Saccharomyces cerevisiae S288C: one gene and its partners. Each later gene encodes a partner of the first gene's protein in a complex. Each region holds a gene or a part of one and is shown on either strand. Other genes may lie near its edges. A codon is read from its position in the direction of its gene.

Region 1 (2,556 bases):
AACGATCCTATGGCTTTTCAGCCATTTCGAGCCGTTCAGTTGGAACCCGCTGCCATGTAGTGACAAGCAGCGCGCCGAGTACGTGTCGAAGCTCCGCGAGTTCTACTCTAGCAACAAGTTCGTTGCCGGAGAAGCCGTTGCGGACAACCGCTTCAAATTGAAGAAGGCTCTGTTGCTGCAAATACTGGTAAACTACTTAGGCGGTCGAATGCTCGAACACGATCTGGGCGAGATCTATGCGATTTCAGCAAAGTGTTTCGATATGTGCCGCCAGCAGGGCGGCATGCGCAAGGTCCAATACGTGATCGGAATATGGCATTTAATGAATTGTACGGTGGCGATGCGGGGAAAAGACGTCGCTCTCACGAACGCGAAGCTGGAGGCGCTGGTTAAGCAAATCACCAGTGTCAAACAATAAACCAAAAAAAAAAAAAGAAACACTTGATTTCCTTTATCTATTTTTATACTTAATTATTTTTTTTAGATGCACTATACAAATTCGCGTTAATTTTTGCCTTTTTACAACGCCTCCGTAGGGGTCTTTTTGCCGCCTGGCACAAGGATGGCAATATTGTTGCCGCTTAAAAGCATTCTGCCATGGTGCTGCATAACTTTCTCATTTCTGCTCTCGTCCTCAGGATCGATAAGCCACTCGACAGCGTCTTCCAGTATAACGTTGACGAAGTCGTCGAAACCAACTAACGTGCCCTCGAACTCGCGGTTCGACTGCAGCACAATCAACACTTTCTGGTTAATTGTTTTATCTATGACTTCCAAAGGCAAAATCTCCGGTAGACTCATTTTGCGCGCTTCTGTGTATGCTTGTGAGTGCACGTGTATACGCTATGCTTGTTGTGAGACCATCTATCCGCCAAGGAAGCCTTTTTCGCTTTCTCTGTATTTTTTCTACTTCAATAAGAAAGCAAGTATTCTGTTTTGCTACCCGGATGCAAAGACAAAACCCGAGCATCCGGGTAATAAAAGAGCAGGGTCCGGCTGAAGGTGCCAAAAAAGACCAAAAAGGGCTATATTATCTCTCTCTTACGATTGCCTCTGGTTAAAAAATGAAATAGATAATAAAAGGGCAGCAAAGAAAAAAAAGAAGAATACAATATACGTATACGTTCTCAACAATTTTTCGTCCTGTTTTTTTCTTGACCACGGTCACTACTAACTCCTGAGACATCAGACCAACGTGTAGAAAAAAAGAAATCGGGTCCGGCACTGACACACGCTCTGCGCCAATCAACCAGGGCGCATCGAGCATTCTTTCCAGGCCAGGGTGCAGAAATACTATTATTAAGTGCGCGAATACTGCTGGTGCATTAAACGAGCGAGTACAGTGAGCCCGCCGCTGACTGCCGACTCACGCCAGGCCGCTATTTCCTTCCCCCGCCCGCGTAAGCCGTGCCGAGCACCGTCGCAGCAGTAAGAAGGTGCGCATTTCATTCTCTGCACAGCGTAGATGAATGCACCCGATTTCTAAGTTGGTGTTGCAAGGCCCGGTGGAAGCGATGGGCTGTAGTTCGACCTTGAGCTTTTAGTTATATAAAATGCTCAATGTGAGCAAAAAAATACATAACACGACGGATTGTACGTTGTCGAAATCTTCTCTCAGCAGGTCATCACACATATACTTCCCGCCATGCCTAACAAAGTGTTTAACGTGGCCGTTTTCTTCGTTGTGTTCAGAGAGTGCTTGGAAGCAGTGATTGTTATTTCCGTGCTGCTATCGTTTTTGAAACAGGCAATCGGGGAACATGACCGGGCGCTGTACCGTAAATTAAGGATTCAGGTTTGGGTCGGTGTGTTACTCGGGTTCATCATTTGTCTGGCCATCGGTGCAGGTTTCATCGGTGCGTACTATTCGCTGCAGAAGGATATTTTCGGAAGCGCGGAAGACTTGTGGGAAGGTATCTTTTGTATGATTGCGACGATAATGATCTCGATGATGGGTATTCCTATGTTGAGAATGAATAAGATGCAGAGTAAGTGGAGAGTGAAGATTGCGCGGTCGTTGGTGGAGATTCCTCACCGTAAGAGAGACTATTTCAAGATTGGGTTCTTGAGTAGAAGATATGCTATGTTCCTTTTGCCGTTTATTACTGTCTTGAGAGAAGGTTTGGAAGCTGTTGTGTTCGTTGCCGGTGCAGGTATTACCACACAGGGCTCGCACGCCTCTGCTTACCCATTGCCCGTTGTGGTTGGTTTGATATGTGGTGGTCTTGTTGGGTATTTGTTGTACTATGGTGCTTCGAAATCCTCGCTGCAGATTTTCTTGATTTTGTCTACTTCGATCTTGTACCTGATCTCCGCCGGTCTTTTCTCTCGTGGTGCGTGGTACTTTGAAAATTACAGATTCAACCTTGCCAGTGGTGGTGATGCTTCCGAAGGCGGTGATGGTAATGGGTCTTATAACATCAGAAAGGCCGTTTACCATGTCAATTGTTGCAACCCAGAACTGGACAATGGGTGGGATATCTTCAATGCTTTGCTTGGATGGCAGAACACCGGCTACTTGTCATCCATGCTTTGTTACAACATCTATTGGTTGGT
Region 2 (2,926 bases), on another chromosome or scaffold:
GCGTTTATTACAAACTATAGAATTATCGCAGCAATGGTACGTGTCTGTTCCTGCAAGCGTTAATTCGATTGATAGATAAAGTAATTCATTAACCTTTGCGAATATGCTCTTTACTGTTAGGTTTCAGGATTTTAAAAATGAAGCAACTTTACTAACATCAATATGCAAATAAATCTGCAAAAACTTTTTTTCACAGGGCTAACTTGCGTACTCAAAAGAGACTTGCCGCTTCTGTTGTCGGTGTTGGTAAGAGAAAGGTTTGGTTAGACCCAAACGAAACTTCTGAAATTGCCCAAGCCAACTCTAGAAATGCCATTAGAAAATTGGTCAAGAACGGAACCATCGTCAAGAAGGCCGTTACTGTCCACTCTAAATCTAGAACTAGAGCCCATGCTCAATCCAAGAGAGAAGGTCGTCACAGTGGTTACGGTAAGAGAAAGGGTACTAGAGAAGCTCGTTTACCATCCCAAGTCGTCTGGATCAGAAGATTACGTGTCTTGAGAAGATTATTGGCCAAGTACCGTGACGCTGGTAAGATTGACAAGCATTTGTACCACGTTTTGTACAAGGAATCCAAGGGTAACGCCTTCAAGCACAAGAGAGCTTTGGTTGAACACATTATTCAAGCTAAGGCTGATGCTCAACGTGAAAAGGCTTTGAACGAAGAAGCTGAAGCTAGAAGATTGAAGAACAGAGCTGCTCGTGACAGAAGAGCTCAAAGAGTTGCTGAAAAGAGAGACGCTTTGCTAAAGGAAGACGCTTAATTGATTACAAATAATTAGCTAAGAAATTACGTACCTTCTCATTGTTCTATATATGTTTTATTTTCTCTAAAATGTACCAAATACAATAATAGTTTCAAAGGAGCAGAGAAAGAAACTAAGGTGAAGGAGACTGTTCGTAGAATAAATGAATATTGATTAAAATTTTCTGAAAAAAAGAGTAATGAAGTCGTAGTCATCGCTAATGTACCGTAAGTGAGTTCTGAAAGGAGGCGGGTTCTTGTTTCAACGTAGCTTGTCTAGTCCTTTATGGCATCGTGTAAAATTGGTATATATTCAGAACACCCAGGAGTGAATTGATTTGCTGCTATAGGGGGAAATAAGATGTAACGATATTTTTTGTACTGAATTTCTTTGATGATACTGCCAGGATTGAGAGTTTGGTTGCCACATGTACGCTTAGGACACTCATGACTATCACTCCTGTGTATCGCTTCCATGTCGTATACCCACTGGCCGATTCTCACCCTCTGCATTGTATGATATTACTAGTATTGCTTGTTTCAGGGGCAAGAATTTTCACTAATACACTACCAGTTTATGATAGCTTATCTACATCCTTTTACTGCAAAATTATTCTGGATTTGCAAAATTATTCTGGATTTGCAAAAGTTCGGCTTCACTATCAAAGCGAAAGGTGACCTTTTTATCGTACCTTTAAGAAAGATAGGCATAAACAATACTGTGTGGCAGGAAAAGATTTGATGAAGACCAAAAACAGCATCGAAGTGCTTTGCTACGATTTCTTTTTTTACTCTCCGGTTATTTTGAGCTATCTTGTCATTATATCTTTAAATTTATATATTTCTTTGCCCAGCTTTTAAGCGTTCACTGGAATTGCCCATATGTTCACTAAATATAAAACTGATTATTCTCTCCTCTATATTGTCATCTCGGCAGAAAAGCTACTTTTAAATAAGTTTTAAACACCAGTTTTCTGCAATGATAAAAATAGCTACTTTGGATAGAGGCTGAGGCCTAACTAGTTGGAAGAAACTACTTAGGGATCCTTTGTACGGGAAACTTTTTTCCGCTGTTGTAATTGTATCATTGTCGTTGTTCATTTTTCAAATCCAGGCAATGAGGAAGTTTTGAACCAAAAAAAATAAAACCGAAAACAGAGCAACTTTAATTATAGTACGGCATATAAGGAAAACAAATCCAGAATTCAATAAAAGAATACAATACTTTCGAACACATATCTCACGCTGATAACACCCTAGCAAGTATGCTTTTCTTCTCCTTTTTCAAGACTTTAGTTGACCAAGAAGTGGTCGTAGAGGTATGTTCATAATGATTTACATCGGAATTCCCTTTGATACAAGAAAACTAACGGGTATCGTACATCAATTTTTGAAAAAAGTCAAGTACTAACGTTTGTTTACCCCTGTTTATTGTGTTTCCACTCAGTTAAAAAACGACATTGAAATAAAAGGTACACTACAATCAGTTGACCAATTTTTGAATCTGAAACTAGACAACATATCATGCACAGATGAAAAAAAATATCCACACTTGGGTTCCGTAAGGAATATTTTTATAAGAGGTTCAACAGTCAGGTACGTTTACTTGAATAAGAACATGGTAGATACGAATTTGCTACAAGACGCTACCAGAAGGGAGGTAATGACTGAAAGAAAATAAGAATTATGCAGTCTATCCTCATGGCATTTTTTCTCATTAGTTTTTTACACGAGTATCATTTTAGGATATTGAGATTATATGTATATGTATATATGTAGGCCATAAGATGATTCAACGGTTTGTATTAATTATCCGGTTCCGAGCGTTAGGAGAAATAACTTGGTGTGATATCTGTCAAGTGGTCATCCAAAATTTTTTTGGCCAGAGCGTAAGCTACGTAGACTGATGAGGAATTCTTTTTTTTTGCCCCATTTTATCCCAAGAAATTCATTATGAGGTTTTGTTTTGTTTTACTAAATGCGCTTGATGGAAAAGCGAATGTCATGAAATGCAGATCAACACTCCAATAAAAAAGTAAATGTTTTTAAAGAAGTATATCACGCTACAAAAATTCATAAGCACTATATTTCGAACGTTAACCTAAATCTCTCCCACTAAGAAAATGGATAGAAATGTATATGAAGCCTGCAGCAATATAATTAAGGAATTTGGAACACATG
Region 3 (2,679 bases), on another chromosome or scaffold:
TCCAGCATTTCCGAAGTTTTACTTTTCAGGTTGTGAACAAAATTTTTGGACTTCAAAGAAAACGATCTTGAAAGTTTTTTGTTTGGAGAGGGTGCTACTTTTTTATGCGGCAATAAGTTATCTGCTGTTTGAGGCCTGCTGAAACTTCCATTATCAGACAAACGTAATGTCGATGAAGAGGTTGATGTTTTCATTTCTACGGTATCGGTTCTTGTAATCGGGGAGACATGATTCATAGATTTGGAAGTTGACGTTTGAATACCTTGAGATGATTTGTTATTTTCTTTCGTAGCTTCTGATAAAGTTAATGCCAGTCCATGCGGAGGTTCGACCTCTTCGTTCATTTGTACAGCCATAGGGCTGTTCAAAGGACTTGTAATTTTATCAGTGCTATTTCTGGGTGTGTTGACGATGATTTCATTCTCTTTGTTGTCTGTATCATCTTTGTCTGTCTCTTCTTTATCATAAATTGAAAAGAATCTATTCGCGTTCGAGTTCGAATTTGGGATCCTCGGATCCTTTACCACTATGGAATCTCGATTTGCTCTTTGTGGTTTTAATAGCCTATAGGTTACGTCTTCACCCATTTTGTTGATGTAGTCCTCATTATCCACCAAACTCTGCTCTTCAATGCTATTACTATCGTGTTCCAAAGTAGAGTTCAGAATGTCGTCAATAGAAACCGTCCTTGCGTGAGAAGATGTTTCCTCCCTGTCCTTGCTGTTATCATTATCATTATTGTCATTCAACGATGATTCATCTCTTTCTTGTGATACTAAAACTTGTGGAGTGAGCTGTTGATCCTCATTCGAGCTTACAAGGTTCTTACTTATTGCGGTGTTGTTTGTACTGACATCTGACTTACCATTTATTCTGGTGGGTGACAAGGGCCTTTTGACTGATCTTTCAGGAAGTTTTATGGGAAAATCTTCTTTCGATGAATTTTTTGTTTGATTTTCCAGTAATAGTTGTTTTTTTCTCAACAATTTCTCGTGACAATCCATACAACATAGTCCTCGTTTTGTCTTTGCATACTTTAAGTTCTTTATACGGTTGCTGCACCGACAGCATCTGAAACAATTGGAACAATAGGCCTCATTTGAGGAAGGCAGTATAATTGCTGTGTCGTCTATTTTATCGCCACAATTTGTACATTTATCTGAGCAGTCGTAACAAATTAATGTACCTATATCCAGAACCAAAAAGTCTGAATCTGCGTTCAATTTTTTGTCACATTTGTAGCATGTAAAGCACTGGTCATGCCATTTTTTGCTTTCTAATTCGTATACCTGGCTAGACGCGATTGATTTATTGCACCTCACACATAAAGACGATTGGTCATTAATAGGGTCAGCTGACATATTTTTTTCATCAAAATCTCCTTGCTCTTGAGATGCTACGTTATATTTCACTTTATTAAAAGTACAATGAACTCTTGGTAATAAAAGATAAGGATTAGAAACGCCAAGTATGCAAAGATGAAATGTTAATCAATAGGGGAGTCGACTGATCGATCTTCTGGCTAACATTCTCCAAGGAATGCCAATTTTCATATCTCGACCTGATACTGTTTACCCGAATGGGAAACTAAATTGACGTGCATTATCATTACAATTAAAAGTTACTGAAGCGATGCAACGATTTAAGCACAATTGAAGCGGCATAAATCGAATATCACTGTGGCTAATTAACTGGGTTATGTGTAGGAAATAAATGTTATTACGACTATAGGCCTTTCTTTTAGCCGTTTAATGTAAGATATTTCTATTATTAAAACATTTTACCCGGGGGCAGCTGTTCGTGTACAATGCCAAATAAGCAACGTCGCAGCAACCCATTCAATAATGCACAAGACGCCATATTAACGAGAAAATATGGCATTGCACAGTATAAGCAAAACAAGCAGAGATTATTAGTGATGTCCGGAAAAGCTTCTACAGAGGGTAGCGTTACTACGGAGTTTCTCTCTGATATCATTGGTAAGACAGTGAACGTCAAACTTGCCTCGGGTTTACTCTACAGCGGAAGATTGGAATCCATTGATGGTTTTATGAATGTTGCACTATCGAGTGCCACTGAACACTACGAGAGTAATAACAATAAGCTTCTAAATAAGTTCAATAGTGATGTCTTTTTGAGGGGCACGCAGGTCATGTATATCAGTGAACAAAAAATATAGACTTATCTCCTCTAATGGATTAATATGTAGGAATGAGCAAGTTGGTTTGACATAAAGTTGCATTTGCGAGTTTAGCACGGATACACACAAACACACCCATATCTATATACATATATATATATATGTGTGTGTGTATATCGAATAGGATCGAACAGTTTTATTTTAATGAATTTTTATGAATATATATTGTAAAGTTTACTCTCCGTCTCATTATTTTTATGCTTTACTAAAGAAAAAATGAATAGAGCCAGAAAGTGACGGAGTTTCCTTATAGACATATGAAAACAACGAAATTTTGTTCTATCACTTATGTACTCCTTTCAATTTCGCTCAAAAATTATTTGGATTTACCAAAAAGTTTTTCTTCTCTTTGCATGTTTGGTTTAAAAAGGCTTAAAATAAAGAATTTTCTACAAAAGTAAAACTCCACGTTCAATGCTCTTCCGCACCTTTATGATGTCTCAAATGAAAATAATATTCCATGGAATAGCCAAAGGCAA

The links. Proteins that work in one complex are often made in the same cells at the same time.
Region 2: LSM5 (region 1) and LSM2 share a complex: the UniProt entries of both Saccharomyces cerevisiae proteins name them as parts of the spliceosome U4/U6-U5 tri-snRNP complex.
Region 3: the proteins of LSM5 (region 1) and LSM6 are in contact, whole or in part, in a crystal structure (PDB 4M78), measured with the Saccharomyces cerevisiae proteins. Residues at the interface, in NP_011073.1 of Saccharomyces cerevisiae: Leu24 (codon at 732), Arg28 (codon at 720), Phe30 (codon at 714), Val35 (codon at 699), Phe37 (codon at 693), Asp38 (codon at 690), Asn42 (codon at 678), Ile44 (codon at 672), Glu50 (codon at 654), Leu52 (codon at 648), Val64 (codon at 612), Met65 (codon at 609), His67 (codon at 603), His68 (codon at 600), Gly69 (codon at 597), Arg70 (codon at 594), Met71 (codon at 591), Leu72 (codon at 588), Leu73 (codon at 585), Ser74 (codon at 582); in NP_010666.2 of Saccharomyces cerevisiae: Val11 (codon at 1,949), Thr12 (codon at 1,952), Phe15 (codon at 1,961), Leu16 (codon at 1,964), Asp18 (codon at 1,970), Asn25 (codon at 1,991), Lys27 (codon at 1,997), Leu33 (codon at 2,015), Met45 (codon at 2,051), Glu57 (codon at 2,087), Ser58 (codon at 2,090), Asn59 (codon at 2,093), Val78 (codon at 2,150), Met79 (codon at 2,153), Tyr80 (codon at 2,156), Ile81 (codon at 2,159), Ser82 (codon at 2,162), Glu83 (codon at 2,165), Gln84 (codon at 2,168).

Annotation. Positions count from the first base shown.
Region 1 is NC_001137.3:460,830-463,385, reverse strand, and holds LSM5 (RNA-binding protein LSM5), read right to left. Parts: upstream 802-2,556; coding exon 520-801; downstream 1-519. Other genes in the region: cohesin-loading factor complex subunit SCC4, read left to right, coding at 1-418; YER145C-A (uncharacterized protein), read left to right, coding at 563-1,000; high-affinity iron permease FTR1, read left to right, coding at 1,646-2,556. UniProt on the Saccharomyces cerevisiae protein: Component of LSm protein complexes, which are involved in RNA processing and may function in a chaperone-like manner. Component of the cytoplasmic LSM1-LSM7 complex which is involved in mRNA degradation by activating the decapping step.
Region 2 is NC_001134.8:168,613-171,538, forward strand, and holds LSM2 (Sm-like protein LSM2), read left to right. Parts: upstream 1-2,010; coding exon 2,011-2,064; intron 2,065-2,192; coding exon 2,193-2,426; downstream 2,427-2,926. Other genes in the region: 60S ribosomal protein eL19 RPL19B, read left to right, coding at 197-764; RRN10 (Rrn10p), read left to right, coding at 2,869-2,926. UniProt on the Saccharomyces cerevisiae protein: Component of LSm protein complexes, which are involved in RNA processing and may function in a chaperone-like manner. Component of the cytoplasmic LSM1-LSM7 complex which is involved in mRNA degradation by activating the decapping step.
Region 3 is NC_001136.10:1,228,849-1,231,527, reverse strand, and holds LSM6 (U4/U6-U5 snRNP complex subunit LSM6), read left to right. Parts: upstream 1-1,918; coding exon 1,919-2,179; downstream 2,180-2,679. Other genes in the region: GTPase-activating protein RGA2, read right to left, coding at 1-1,361; ATP17 (F1F0 ATP synthase subunit f), read right to left, coding at 2,612-2,679. UniProt on the Saccharomyces cerevisiae protein: Component of LSm protein complexes, which are involved in RNA processing and may function in a chaperone-like manner. Component of the cytoplasmic LSM1-LSM7 complex which is involved in mRNA degradation by activating the decapping step.